Anolis sagrei: one gene and its partners. The protein of the gene in region 1 binds, or shares a complex with, the protein of each later gene. Links are inferred from orthologs where the notes say so. Each region holds a gene or a part of one and is shown in the gene's direction. Other genes may lie near its edges.

What was found.
Region 2: TAF4 (region 1) and TAF6 share a complex: the UniProt entries of both Homo sapiens proteins name them as parts of the TFIID basal transcription factor complex. The link is inferred for Anolis sagrei from reciprocal best matches to the Homo sapiens genes TAF4 and TAF6.
Region 3: TAF4 (region 1) and TAF13 share a complex: the UniProt entries of both Homo sapiens proteins name them as parts of the TFIID basal transcription factor complex. The link is inferred for Anolis sagrei from reciprocal best matches to the Homo sapiens genes TAF4 and TAF13.

What each region holds. Positions count from the first base shown.
Region 1 is NC_090024.1:232,167,456-232,171,203, reverse strand, and holds the start of TAF4 (transcription initiation factor TFIID subunit 4), read left to right. Parts: upstream 1-807; 5' UTR 808-817; coding exon 818-1,217; intron 1,218-3,748. UniProt on the Homo sapiens protein: The TFIID basal transcription factor complex plays a major role in the initiation of RNA polymerase II (Pol II)-dependent transcription.
Region 2 is NC_090026.1:540,139-543,886, reverse strand, and holds the start of TAF6 (transcription initiation factor TFIID subunit 6), read left to right. Parts: upstream 1-1,102; 5' UTR 1,103-1,216; coding exon 1,217-1,402; intron 1,403-3,171; coding exon 3,172-3,258; intron 3,259-3,748. UniProt on the Homo sapiens protein: The TFIID basal transcription factor complex plays a major role in the initiation of RNA polymerase II (Pol II)-dependent transcription.
Region 3 is NC_090023.1:40,844,558-40,848,305, reverse strand, and holds the start of TAF13 (transcription initiation factor TFIID subunit 13), read left to right. Parts: upstream 1-1,290; 5' UTR 1,291-1,371; coding exon 1,372-1,398; intron 1,399-3,748. UniProt on the Homo sapiens protein: The TFIID basal transcription factor complex plays a major role in the initiation of RNA polymerase II (Pol II)-dependent transcription.

The sequences.
Region 1 (3,748 bases):
CTTCCACACAGCCATATATCCCAAGAAGATCAAGGAATACCAGCATATCTGCTTTGAAGTGGGTTATTTGAGTCCACAATGACACATACCCAGTCCAATGTGGGCTTTGTACAGCTGTGTGGAAGTGGCCGGAGTGTCTCCTTCCACACAGCCATATAAACCCAGATCAGCTTCATTCGGGATCCCAGTTCAAAGCAGACCATGTGGGAGAGGCCGGGGCCTCTCCTCCTGTCCTTCAAGGGCAGGAAGAGAGCCAAAGCGGGCGGCGAGGCCTAGTTCCCTCAGTGAAGCGCCGGCGTCGAGTAGCTCCAAGTCCCCGCCGCCAAGCTCCTCCAGCCCGGCGAGAGCGGAACAACAACAACAGCAGCAGAGGCCACCGCGGCGGAGACTGCAGCCATTTTGAGTTTCGTCAGAGACAAAGAACGACTGCGGCGGCGGCGAAGGAGGCTGTCAGACTGCGGGGTCTCTGAGTCGGCGACGGCGGCGACCACTCTTTTGAGTCCTCATTTCTCTTCCTATTTAAGACTAGGCCGCAGCCGGGCCCGTCGCCTGACTAAACCCTGGGAGCCATTTGCGCCCGCTTTTATACCCAGCCGGCGGCCAATCAGAAGCGGGCGGAATCCCTCTCCTCGCGCCGCGCGCATGCTCAGTGGCGGCACACCGAGGGAGACAGAGAGAGAGAGAGAGAGAGAGCCGGGAACCGCGTATGTGTAAAATGAGTGAGGAAGGGAAGGGAAGGGGAGGGGGGAGGAGGGAGGAGGGAGGAGTGAGCGCGCGCGAGAGGGAGGGGGGAGGAGGGAGGGAGGGAAGAAAAAAGATGGCGGCGGGCTCGGATCTGCTGGATGAGGTTTTCCTGAACGCGGAGGTGGATGAGAAGGTGGTGAGCGACCTAGTGGGCTCGCTGGAGTCCCAGCTGGCGGCCTCCGGGCACCACCGAGGCCACCACCGGCCTCCCGAGGGACTCCGGGCCGCCGCCAACGCCGCCACCGGGCAGCTGCTGGGGAACCATGTCGTGAGCGGCGGCGGAGGAGGCAGCCCCAGCCCCGGAGGAGGAGGCGGCGGAGGAGGAGGGGGAGGCAATGCCAGTGGCCAAACAGGGAGCCCCGGCACCACCACCTCCTCCTCCTCTTCCTCTTCCTCCTCCTCCTCCACAACCACTGCCGTCACCAGTAACGCCGCCAAGATGGGACTCAGTGGCCCAGAGACCACCAAGCCAGGTAACCTGGGGAAGGGAGAGGGAGGAGGGCCTCCTCGCCTCCCCTTCTCCCCTCTTGCCCTCCTCTCTTGCCCCCTTGCCTGCCTTCCTCGCTTCCTTCCACCCAGCTTCTCCTCCTTGTTGTTTTGGTCGCAATGGGCCGCCAATGTTCAGGCATGGGCCAACTTGGGCCCTCCCTCCAGGTGCTTTGGACTCCCAACTCCCACCATTCCTAACAGCCCCAGGCCTCCTCCTTTCCAGGAAGGGGCCTGAGGGTGTTAGGGATGGTGGGAGTTGGAGTCCAAAGCACCTGGAGGGCTGAAGTCGACCCATGCCTGCTCTACAGCCTCAGAGTCTGAATTATTCTTCCTCCTTCCCATACTCTGTTACTGAAGTGTCAGAAGTATGGGTTGATATTCATTACAACACCAGTTTCCCCAAAAGACCTGAAGTGTCAGGAGTAGGGGTTGCTATTCATTACAGTTTCCCCCAGAAGAGGAAGTAATAGGGAGGGATTGAGGGGCAGGGACCTGCTTAAAACTATGATAATCATAATCATAATAATAATGCCTTCTCTTCAGCCTCAGAGTCTGAATTATCCTTCTCTCCATTCTCTCTTGCTGAAGTGTCAGGAGTAGAGGTTGCTATTCATTAGAGTTTCACCCAGAAGAGGAAGTGATGGGGAGGGATTGAGGGACAGGGACCTGCTTAAAAGTATAATAATAATCATAATAATAATAATCATAATCATAATAATAGTGGGCCAAAGTTGGCCCATGTCTGCTCCACAGCCTCAGTGTCTGAATTATCCTTCTCTCCTTTCTCTGTTGCTGAAGTGTCAGGAGTAGGGGTGGCTATTCATTACAACACCAGCGTCCCCCAGAACCTGCTTACAAGTATAATATTTATAATAATACTGGGCCAAAGTTGGCCCATGCCTGCTCTTCAGCCTCAGAATCTGAATTATCCTTCTCTCCATTCTATGTTGCTGAAGTGTCAGGAGTAGGGGTTGCTATTCATTACAACACCAGTTTCCCCCCAGAAACTGGTGTTGTGATGGGGAGGGATTGAGGGGTCAGGAACCTGCTTAAAAGTATAATCATAATCATAATCATAGTGGGCCAAAGTTGGCCCATGCCTTCTATTCAGTCTCAAAGTCTGAATTATCCTTCTCTCCATTCTCTCTTGCGTGTCAAGAGTAGGGGTGGCTATTCATTACAACGCCACTTTCCCCCAGAAGAGGAAGTGATGGGGTGGGATTGAGGGACAGGGACCTGCTTAAAAGTATAATAATAATAATAATACTGGGCCAAAGTTGGCCCATGCCTGCTCTACAGCCTCAGAGTCTGAATAATCCTTCCTCTGTTGCTTAAACTAGGATAATAATAATAATGGGCCAAAGTTGGCCCATGCCTGCTTTACAGCCTCAGAGTCTGAATTATCCTTCTCTCCATTCTATGTTGCTGAAGTGTCAGGAGGTTGTAATGTAATGAATAAATAGGGGTTGCTATTCATTACAACACCAGTTTCCCCCAGAAGAGGAAGTGATGGGGTGGGATTGAGGGACAGGGACCTGCTTAAAACTATGATAATAATAAGAATGATAATCATAATAATAATAGTGAGCCAAATTGGCCCATGCCTGCTCTACAGCCTCAGAGACTGAATTATCCTTCTCTCCTTTCTCTGTTGCTGAAGTGTCAGGAGTAGGGGTGGCTATTCATTACAACACCAGCTTCCCCCAGAACCTGCTTAAAAGTATAATATTTATAATAATACTGGGCCAAAGTTGGCCCATGCCTTCTCTTCAGCCTCTGTGCCTGAATTATCTTTCTCTCCATTCTCTCTTGCTGAAGTGTCAGGATTAGGGGTTGCTATTCATTACAACACCAGTTTCCCCAAAAGATCTGAAGTGTCAGGAGTAGGGGTTGCTATTCATACAGTTTCCCCCAGAAGAGGAAGAGATGGGGAGGGATTGAGGGTCAGGAACCTGCTTAAAAGTATAATAATAATAATAATAATAATAATAATAATAGTGGGCCAAAGTTGGCCCTTGCCTGCTATTCAGCCTTTGAGTCTGAATTATCCTTCTCTCCATTCTCTCTTGCTGAAGTGTCAGGAGTAGAGGTTGCTATTCATTACAGTTTCCCCCCTTCATTACAGAAGAGGAAGTGATGGGGTGGGATTGTGGGACAAGGACCTGCTTAAAACTATGATAATAATAAGAATGATGATGATAATAATAATAATAGTAATAGTAATAATAATAGTAATAGTAATAGTAATAGTGGGCCAAAGTTGGTCCATGCCTTCTCTTCAGCCTCTGTGTCTGAATTATTCTTCTCTCCATTCTCTCTTGCTGAAGTGTCAGGAGTAGGGGGTTGATATTCATTACAACACCATCTCCCCCAAAAGACCTGAAGTGTCAGGAGTAGGGGTTGCTATTCATTACAGTTTCCCCCAGAAGAGGAAGTGATGGGGAGGGATTGAGGGACAGGGACCTGCTTAAAATTATGATAATCATAATATTGGGCCAAAGTTGGCCCATGCCTG
Region 2 (3,748 bases), on another chromosome or scaffold:
GATACCGGTTGTGAGGAATGGTGGGAGTAGCCGAGTTTTCCCTTCCTCAACCAACTCGTGTCAAGCCTCAGGAGCGACTAGCCCTTTTGGGCAGGCGCAATGGAGCCGGAAGTGCATGGGCGGAGCATGGGGGCGAGAGCGCCCCGCTCTAGGAGTCCATCCTCGTCTCGGTGGCGCCGCGCCTGCGCAGTGTGTGTGTGTGGGGGGGGGAAAGCCATCGGCCGGCCTTGAGGCGGGAGCGCCGCTCTAGGAATCTCCCCTCCTCTCGGTGGCCACGATCAACTCGAGCCAAGCCTCAGGAGCGACCAGTTCTTTTGGGCAGGCGCAGTGGAGCCGGAAGAGCATGGGCGGAGCCTGGGGAGAAATCGCTCCGCTCTAGGAGTCCGTCCTCGTTACGGTGGCGCCGCGCCTGCGCAGTGGGGAGGAAGGAAAGGCATTTGGAGGGACTTGCGGCGGCGGGAGTGCCCGCTCTAGGAATCTCCCTTCGTCTCGGTGACGCCGCGCCTGCGCAGTGGGAGGAGGGAAGCCATTGGCGGGACTTGCGGCAACGCCCACTCTAGGAGTCAGCCCTCGTCTCGGTGGCGCGGCGCCTGCGCAGTGGGAGGAGGGAAGCCATTGGCGGGAATTGCGGCGGCACCCGCTCTAGGAATCTTCCTTCGTCTCGGTGGCGCGGCGGCTGCGCAGTGGGGGGAGGGAAGCCATTGGCGGGGCTTGCGGCGGCACCCGCTCTAGGAATCTTCCTTCGTCTCGGTGGCGCGGCGCCTGCGCAGTGGGAGGAGGGAAGCCATTGGCGGGGCTTGCGGCGGCACCCGCTCTAGGAATCTCCCTTCGTCTCGGTGGCGCGGCGGCTGCGCAGTGGGAGGAGGGAAGCCAATGGCGGGGCTTGCGGCGGCACCCGCTCTAGGAATCTCCCTTCGTCTCGGTGGCGCCGCGCCTGCGCAGTGGGAGGAGGGAAGCCATTGGCGGGGCTTGCGGCGGCACCCGCTCTAGGAATCTTCCTTCGTCTCGGTGGCGCGGCGCCTGCGCAGTGGGAGGAGGGAAGCCATTGGCGGGGCTTGCGGCAACGCCCACTCTAGGAGTCAGCCCTCGTCTCGGTGGCGCGGCGCCTGCGCAGTGGAAGGAGGGAAGCCATTGGCGGGTCTTGAGGCGGCGGGAGCTCCCGCTCTAGGAGTCCGCCCTCCTCCGGCCGGGGAGTGAGGGAGTGAGGGAAGGGGCGATGGCGGAGGAGAAGCGTGCGGGGAAGGGGGGCGGCGGAGGGGGCGGCGGCGGTGGTGTGGCGGGGCAGGTGCCCCCGGAGTCTGTGAAGGCGATGGCGGAGGCGGTGGGCCTGGCGGCGCTGCCCGAGGAAAGCTGCCAGCTCCTGGCCGAGGAGGTCAGCTACCGCCTCAAGCAGGTCGCCCAGGTCAGAATAAGGGGGGGGGGGAAGGGGCAGGGACCCCTCCCCCACACACAGGCACAAGGGGACTCTGGGACTCCACTTTGTCTTCTGTGCTATGCTAATAGCATATCTGACACTCTCTGAATACACCATCTCTGTCCTTCCCATGGAGCAAAGCATGGCGGGTGGAACAGACTCCTCAGGTCTGCCACACTTTGAGCATTATTAGACTGAGTCTTTTATAGGAATATTCTCTTGATGTCGTCCCAAAGCTGTAACCGCATCTCCATCTACGAACCCACACGCTCACTCCGGTCATCTGGGGAGGCCCTGCTCGTGATCCCGCCTACGTCGCAAGCGCGCTTGGTGGGGACACGGGACAGGGCCTTCTCTGCGGCGGCCCCCCGACTTTGGAATGCCCTTCCAAAAGAGCTTCGTCAGGCCCCTACCCTAGCAGTTTTCAGAAGGAACCTAAAAACTTGGCTGTTCCGATGTGCCTTCGCAGATTAGGAATCCCCATCCCAAGTCCTAGAAGCACTTTAGCACAACTATTGTTGCTGCACACCGCACTTTTAATCTTACGTTCCTCCTGCCATCTCAGCACTTTTAACCCTGCACCCCATTGCGCTGGCCGAACCAGTTTTAATAATGTCTTGATGTATTGTCATTGTGGTTATTTTGCTTAATTGTTTTGATTTGCTTTGTTTATTGTTGTGTTATGTTTCTATTGTATTGTATTTGAGGCTTCGGCCCGTGTAAGCCGCATCGAGTCCTTCGGGAGATGCTAGCGGGGTACAAATAAAGTTAATAAATGAATGGTAGCCAGATGTTGATCTTCTTGATTGGTGTTGACAAACACAAGGCTTGTGTTGACTTCCTTCTTAACATAAGGAAGGTTGCAAACATTTCCTTAACTTGAAAGAACCATTGTCACGGTTTTATTAGAGTTTACTTTGTAGTTCTTATTAGCAACCTTTAATTACAGTCCAGCAAATGTCACAGTCCTTATCAGAGTTGACTTTTCAGTTCTTATTAGCAACTTTTAATTACAGTCCAGCAAACAGGTAGTTAGTCATTGCAGGCCTTCATATTTTACTGGTGCTTCCAAAATTATTAAATCCACTCATTAGGGTTGGGCGGTTTTGTTTCGTAATTTCGTAATTCGTTAAAAATTCGTTATTTTTTTTAAAATAACGAAGCGATATTGAACCATTCAGGAGCAACTAAAAAACGAAACGAATTTTTCCAATTCTTTTCGAAATTGATTCGTTATTGATTTGTTATTGATTCGTAAATGTTTCGTTATTATTTCCGCATGTCTGGTGCACGTTTTAGGGTTGCTGTTTGTTTTCTCAGTGAAAAAAAAATATAATTATCACACCAACAGTCAACAACAGAGGGAGAGGGAAGCTTCAGAAGTTTTTTTAGCGTATTGAGCGATCGCGGCCGCCATTAACGAATCGATTCGTAATCGATTCATAATTGTTTTGTAATTGGTTTTTTGATTTCCGAAATTTTGTAAATATCGAACTTTTTTAAAGGAAAATTTCGGAATTCTTTTAAATAACGAAACGCAAAAAACCCCTAAAAACGAATCGAGTTTAGAAACAAATTTTTCCGTGTTTGGACAGCCCTACCACTCATACCTTCATCTTCCATTCTTCCATTCATTCCTACACATAATATTCAATTCACATTTCTCAAATTTTGGTGACACCTCCTCTCCCCCCCCCCCCAGACATCCACAAGGCCCCTTCGTGACGGAGACTCCCCTTTCCCTGTTTCCCCTGCAGGAGGCGCTCAAGTTCATGCGGATGGGCAAGCGGCGCAGCTTGGCCACTGCCGACCTTGACTGTGCCTTCAAGCTCAAGAATGTGGAGGTCAGTCTCTGGGGAGGGGAGGGGGTGGGGCTTCTGTGTGTGAGAGGGAGGGTCTTGGGGGCATGGCTTCATCGAGAGAGAGGCGGGGCTTAGAGAAGGGGGCAGAACTTCACTGAGTGGAGGGGCTCGCTTGTGAGAGGGATGGCTTCCTTGATTAGGGGTCTGTAGGGGTGTGGCTTTATTGAGAGAGGGGAGGGGCCCAGGGAAAAGAGGGATGTAGCCTGGAGAGGGGGGGGCTTCCTTGAGGGAGAGGGAGGGTTCTAGGCAAGTCTTTCCCCATTAGGGATTTGGAGGGGGCGGGGCTTCATTGGAGAGGGGAGGGGCCAGGAAAGGGGGTGTGGCTACTTATGGGAGGGGGCAAGCCTTTGCCTTGACAGTCCCTCCCCTTCTCCCCCCCCCAGCCAAGAGAGGGCATGAAGGGGGTGCCTCTTTGAGAGTGGGAGGGGCCTAGGGGAGGGTTCCCTTGATTAGGGGACTGGCGGCAGGGCTT
Region 3 (3,748 bases), on another chromosome or scaffold:
CCCTTGTCCCCACAAGTCGCGCTTGCGCCTCCCCAGAGGATCGAACAGGTCGTACAGGTTCATAGAAGGAAATATGCATGGAGCCTTAGGTAAATATAAAAGTTTCCCCTTGACATTAAGTTTATTTAGGTAAAGTTTTCCCCTGACATTAAGTCCAGTTGTGTCTGACTCTGTGGTGTGGTGCTCATCTCAATTTCTAAGCTGAAGAGCCGGCATTGTCCGTAGACATCTCCTAGGTCATGTGGCAAGCATGACTGCATGGGCCACCATTACCTTCCCGCTGGAGCGGTACCTATTGATCTACTCAAAATCAAATCAATTGATCTACTCACATTTGCATGTTTTCGAACTGCTAGGTTGGCAGAAGCTGGGGCTAACAGCAGGAGCTCACCCCACTCCCCAGATTCAAATCGCCGACCTTTCGGTCAACAAGTTCAGCAGCTCAGTGGTTTAACCTGCTGCACCACCAAGGCTCCATGGGACCTTACATTTGCTCTTTAATGGGAATGGAGTATTTATTTATTTATTTATAAGTTTTGTATACTGGCCTTCTCACCTCTCTTGAGGGACTCAGACCGGTTTCCAACCATAATATCACATACAATCAATAAAACATCATAATACATATTACAGTAAAACATTAAAACAGCAATTACAATAAATAACTATAATGGTTAGTCGTCACACTAAAATCGTTGCTCATCATCCTCCATCCATATCTCAGGGTGTTGGCTCACTCGTCGAATGCCTGTCTCCATAACCAAGTCTTCACCTGTTTCCTAAATGTCAGGATAGAAGGGGCGGTTCTGATCTCCAGTGGGAGAGAGTTCCAGAGTCTAGGGGCCACCACTGAGAAAGCCCTGTCCCTCATCCCCACCAGACGCGCTTGCGAGGCCGATGGGACCGAGAGCAGGGCCGCTCCAGACGATCTTAATAATCTTGATGGTTCATAGGGGAGAATACGTTCGGAGAGGTAAACAGGGCCAGAGTCGTTTAGGGCTTTGATAAGAAAATAACCTTTGATAAGAAAATAAATGTAGGCCAATATTACTAGTCCTTTTCCCATCCTGAGCCATGGCAGTTAAAGTGGTATCCAATGCCCAATAAGTCTACAGTGTAGATGCACTGAAGTATGGCTTTATGAGAGCAGTGAGGGAAAAGTACTAGATGGGGTCCAAAGGCCTAGTGTTCTAAACAGAGCCTGACACCTCTGGAGAAGGGCAATGTGAGTGATAAGTGCAGCTGTGGCTGCCTTTCTTCGCAGGGCGCATGCTCAGAAGTTCTTCGTGAAAGGACCAATCGCAGCGCGGGCGGAAGTGCTTCCTGATTGGCCGGGACAGTGGGACAACATTTCCGTCGCTTCCAGGAATCATGGCGGACGAAGAAGAGGATCCTCCCGTGAGTGAGGAAGACAGGGGCTCAGTTTGGGGCGAGAATAACATTGTTTTTAGACTTCCTATCCTTCTTGGATGCCCTTTGGGAGGCTGAGGGGGACACTTGCTGCCTTCAGAGCTTCCCTAATTCATGGCAAGACCGTGGGTGCATCTACACAGTAGAATTGATGCAGTTTGGCACCACTTTAACTGTCATGGCTCAGTGCAGTGGAGTGCTATGGTTTGTAGTTTGGCTAAAGGCCTTGTAAAACTACAACTCCCAGGATTGAGACGTGGCAGTAAAAGTGATGCCAAACTGCATTAATTCTACAGTATAGATCAGGCATGGGCAAACTTTAGCCCTCCAGGGGCGTTGGACTCCAACTTCCATAATTCCTAACAGCCCCGGACCCTTTCCTTTTCCTGAGGTTGTTAAGAATTGTGGGAGTTGGAGTCCAAAACCCTGGAGGGCCGAAGTTTGCCCATGCCTGGTATAGATGCACTCTGAGTATAAAATAGTTGTGATGTTGTAGGTTTTTTCGGGCTATATGGCCATGTTCTAGAGGCATTCTCTCCTGACGTTTTGCCTGCATCTATGGCAAGCATCCTCAGAGGTAGTGAGGTTACTACCTCACTACCTCTGAGGATGCTTGCCATAGATCAGTGGTTCTCAACCTGTGGGTTCCCAGGTGTTTTGGCCTACAACTCCCAGAAATCCCAGCCAGTTTAGCAGCTGTTAGGATTTCTGGGAGTTGAAGGCCAAAACATCTGGGGACCCACAGGTTGAGAACCACTGCCATAGATGCAGGCGAAACGTCAGGAGAGAATGCCTCTAGAACATAGCCATATAGCCCAAAAAAACTTAAACAACCCAGTGATTCTGGCCAAGAAAGCCTTCGACAATACATATAAAATAGATGTTAAAGCTATCTTGAAGCCAACAATTAAAATTAAATGATTAAATACAGTAGCTGAACTTAACCCCTGAAACCATCCACACTGCAGAATTATAGCAATTTTCCACCACTTTCACTGCTGTGTCTCCATTCTCTAGGATTTGTATTTTTTGTGGAACTGACAAAGAAAGGTAGATATCTCACAAAACTACAAATCCCAGAATCCCATAGCATTCAGTCATGGCAGCCAAATTGCTATAACTCTACACTGTGAATGTAGCTCTCTGTTGAACTTGAAGACCTGGAAATGTTCCGTTGGAATTAGACTGTGATGCTATAATAATCCTGTGCAGATTTTCCTTGGGGGAAATCTCACCCACTAATATGAAATTTATTTTGTACTAGGTGTATTTAGAATTTGCCAGTTTTGTCATTACAAACTTTAAACCATAGAATTATAAGAGTTGGAAGAGACCTCGTGGGCCATCCAATCCAACCCCCTGCCAAGAAGCAGGAAAATCCCATTGAAAGCACCCCTGACAGATGGCCATCCAGCCTCTGTTTAAAAGCCTCCAAAGAAGGAGTGTCCACCACACTTTGGGGCAGAGAGTTCCACTGCTGAAGAGCTCTCACAGTTAAGAAGTTCTTCCTGATTTTCAGGTGGAATCTCCTTTTCTGTAGTTTGAAGCCATTGTTCCATTGCGTCCTAGTCTCCAGGGCAGTAGAAAACAAGCTTGCTCCCTCCCCCTATTACTTCCCCTCACATATTTATACATGGCCATCATGTCTTCTCTCAGCCTTCTCTTTGGTAGGCTAAACAGCTCTTTAAGCTGCTCCTTATAGGGCTTGTTCTCTAGACCCTTGATCATTTTAGTCACCCTTCTCTGGAGACATTTGTTGGCTCATGTGGTATAGTTATCTTGAAAATATTTGTAAGAATTCTGTTTGATCAAAGCCATATTTAACTCAACATTTTCTTCTCACATTGGCCAACCTGATACATAAAGAAAGCCTACAGGCAGGACAGGAGCACAATAGCACTCCAAGGCCTGCTTTCCTCAACAGTTGGGACTAAAAGATCTTCCAGTACCGGTTGCCATTATTACTAATAGCCATTGGTAGTTTATTTATTTATTTATTTACAGAGTATATATTCTGCTCTTCTCACCCCGCAGGGGACTCAGGGTGGATTACAATGTACACATATGGCAAACATTCAATGCCAAAGACACACAACAGATATAGACAAACAGCCAGTGGCTATTTAACTTTTCAGTCGCCAGGGCAGCTGTCGCTTTAATCGTCCATCTGCGACACTTATGAAGTACTTCCGCATTCCCCGCATGCTTTTGCTGTAGTGCTTGCTGGAGTCCTTTTTATGGCCTCATAAATTAGTTAAATTAGCCTCCCCACACATAGGTGATACCTAATTTTCCTACTTGACAGATGCAACTGTCTTTCGGGTTGCAAAGGTCGACA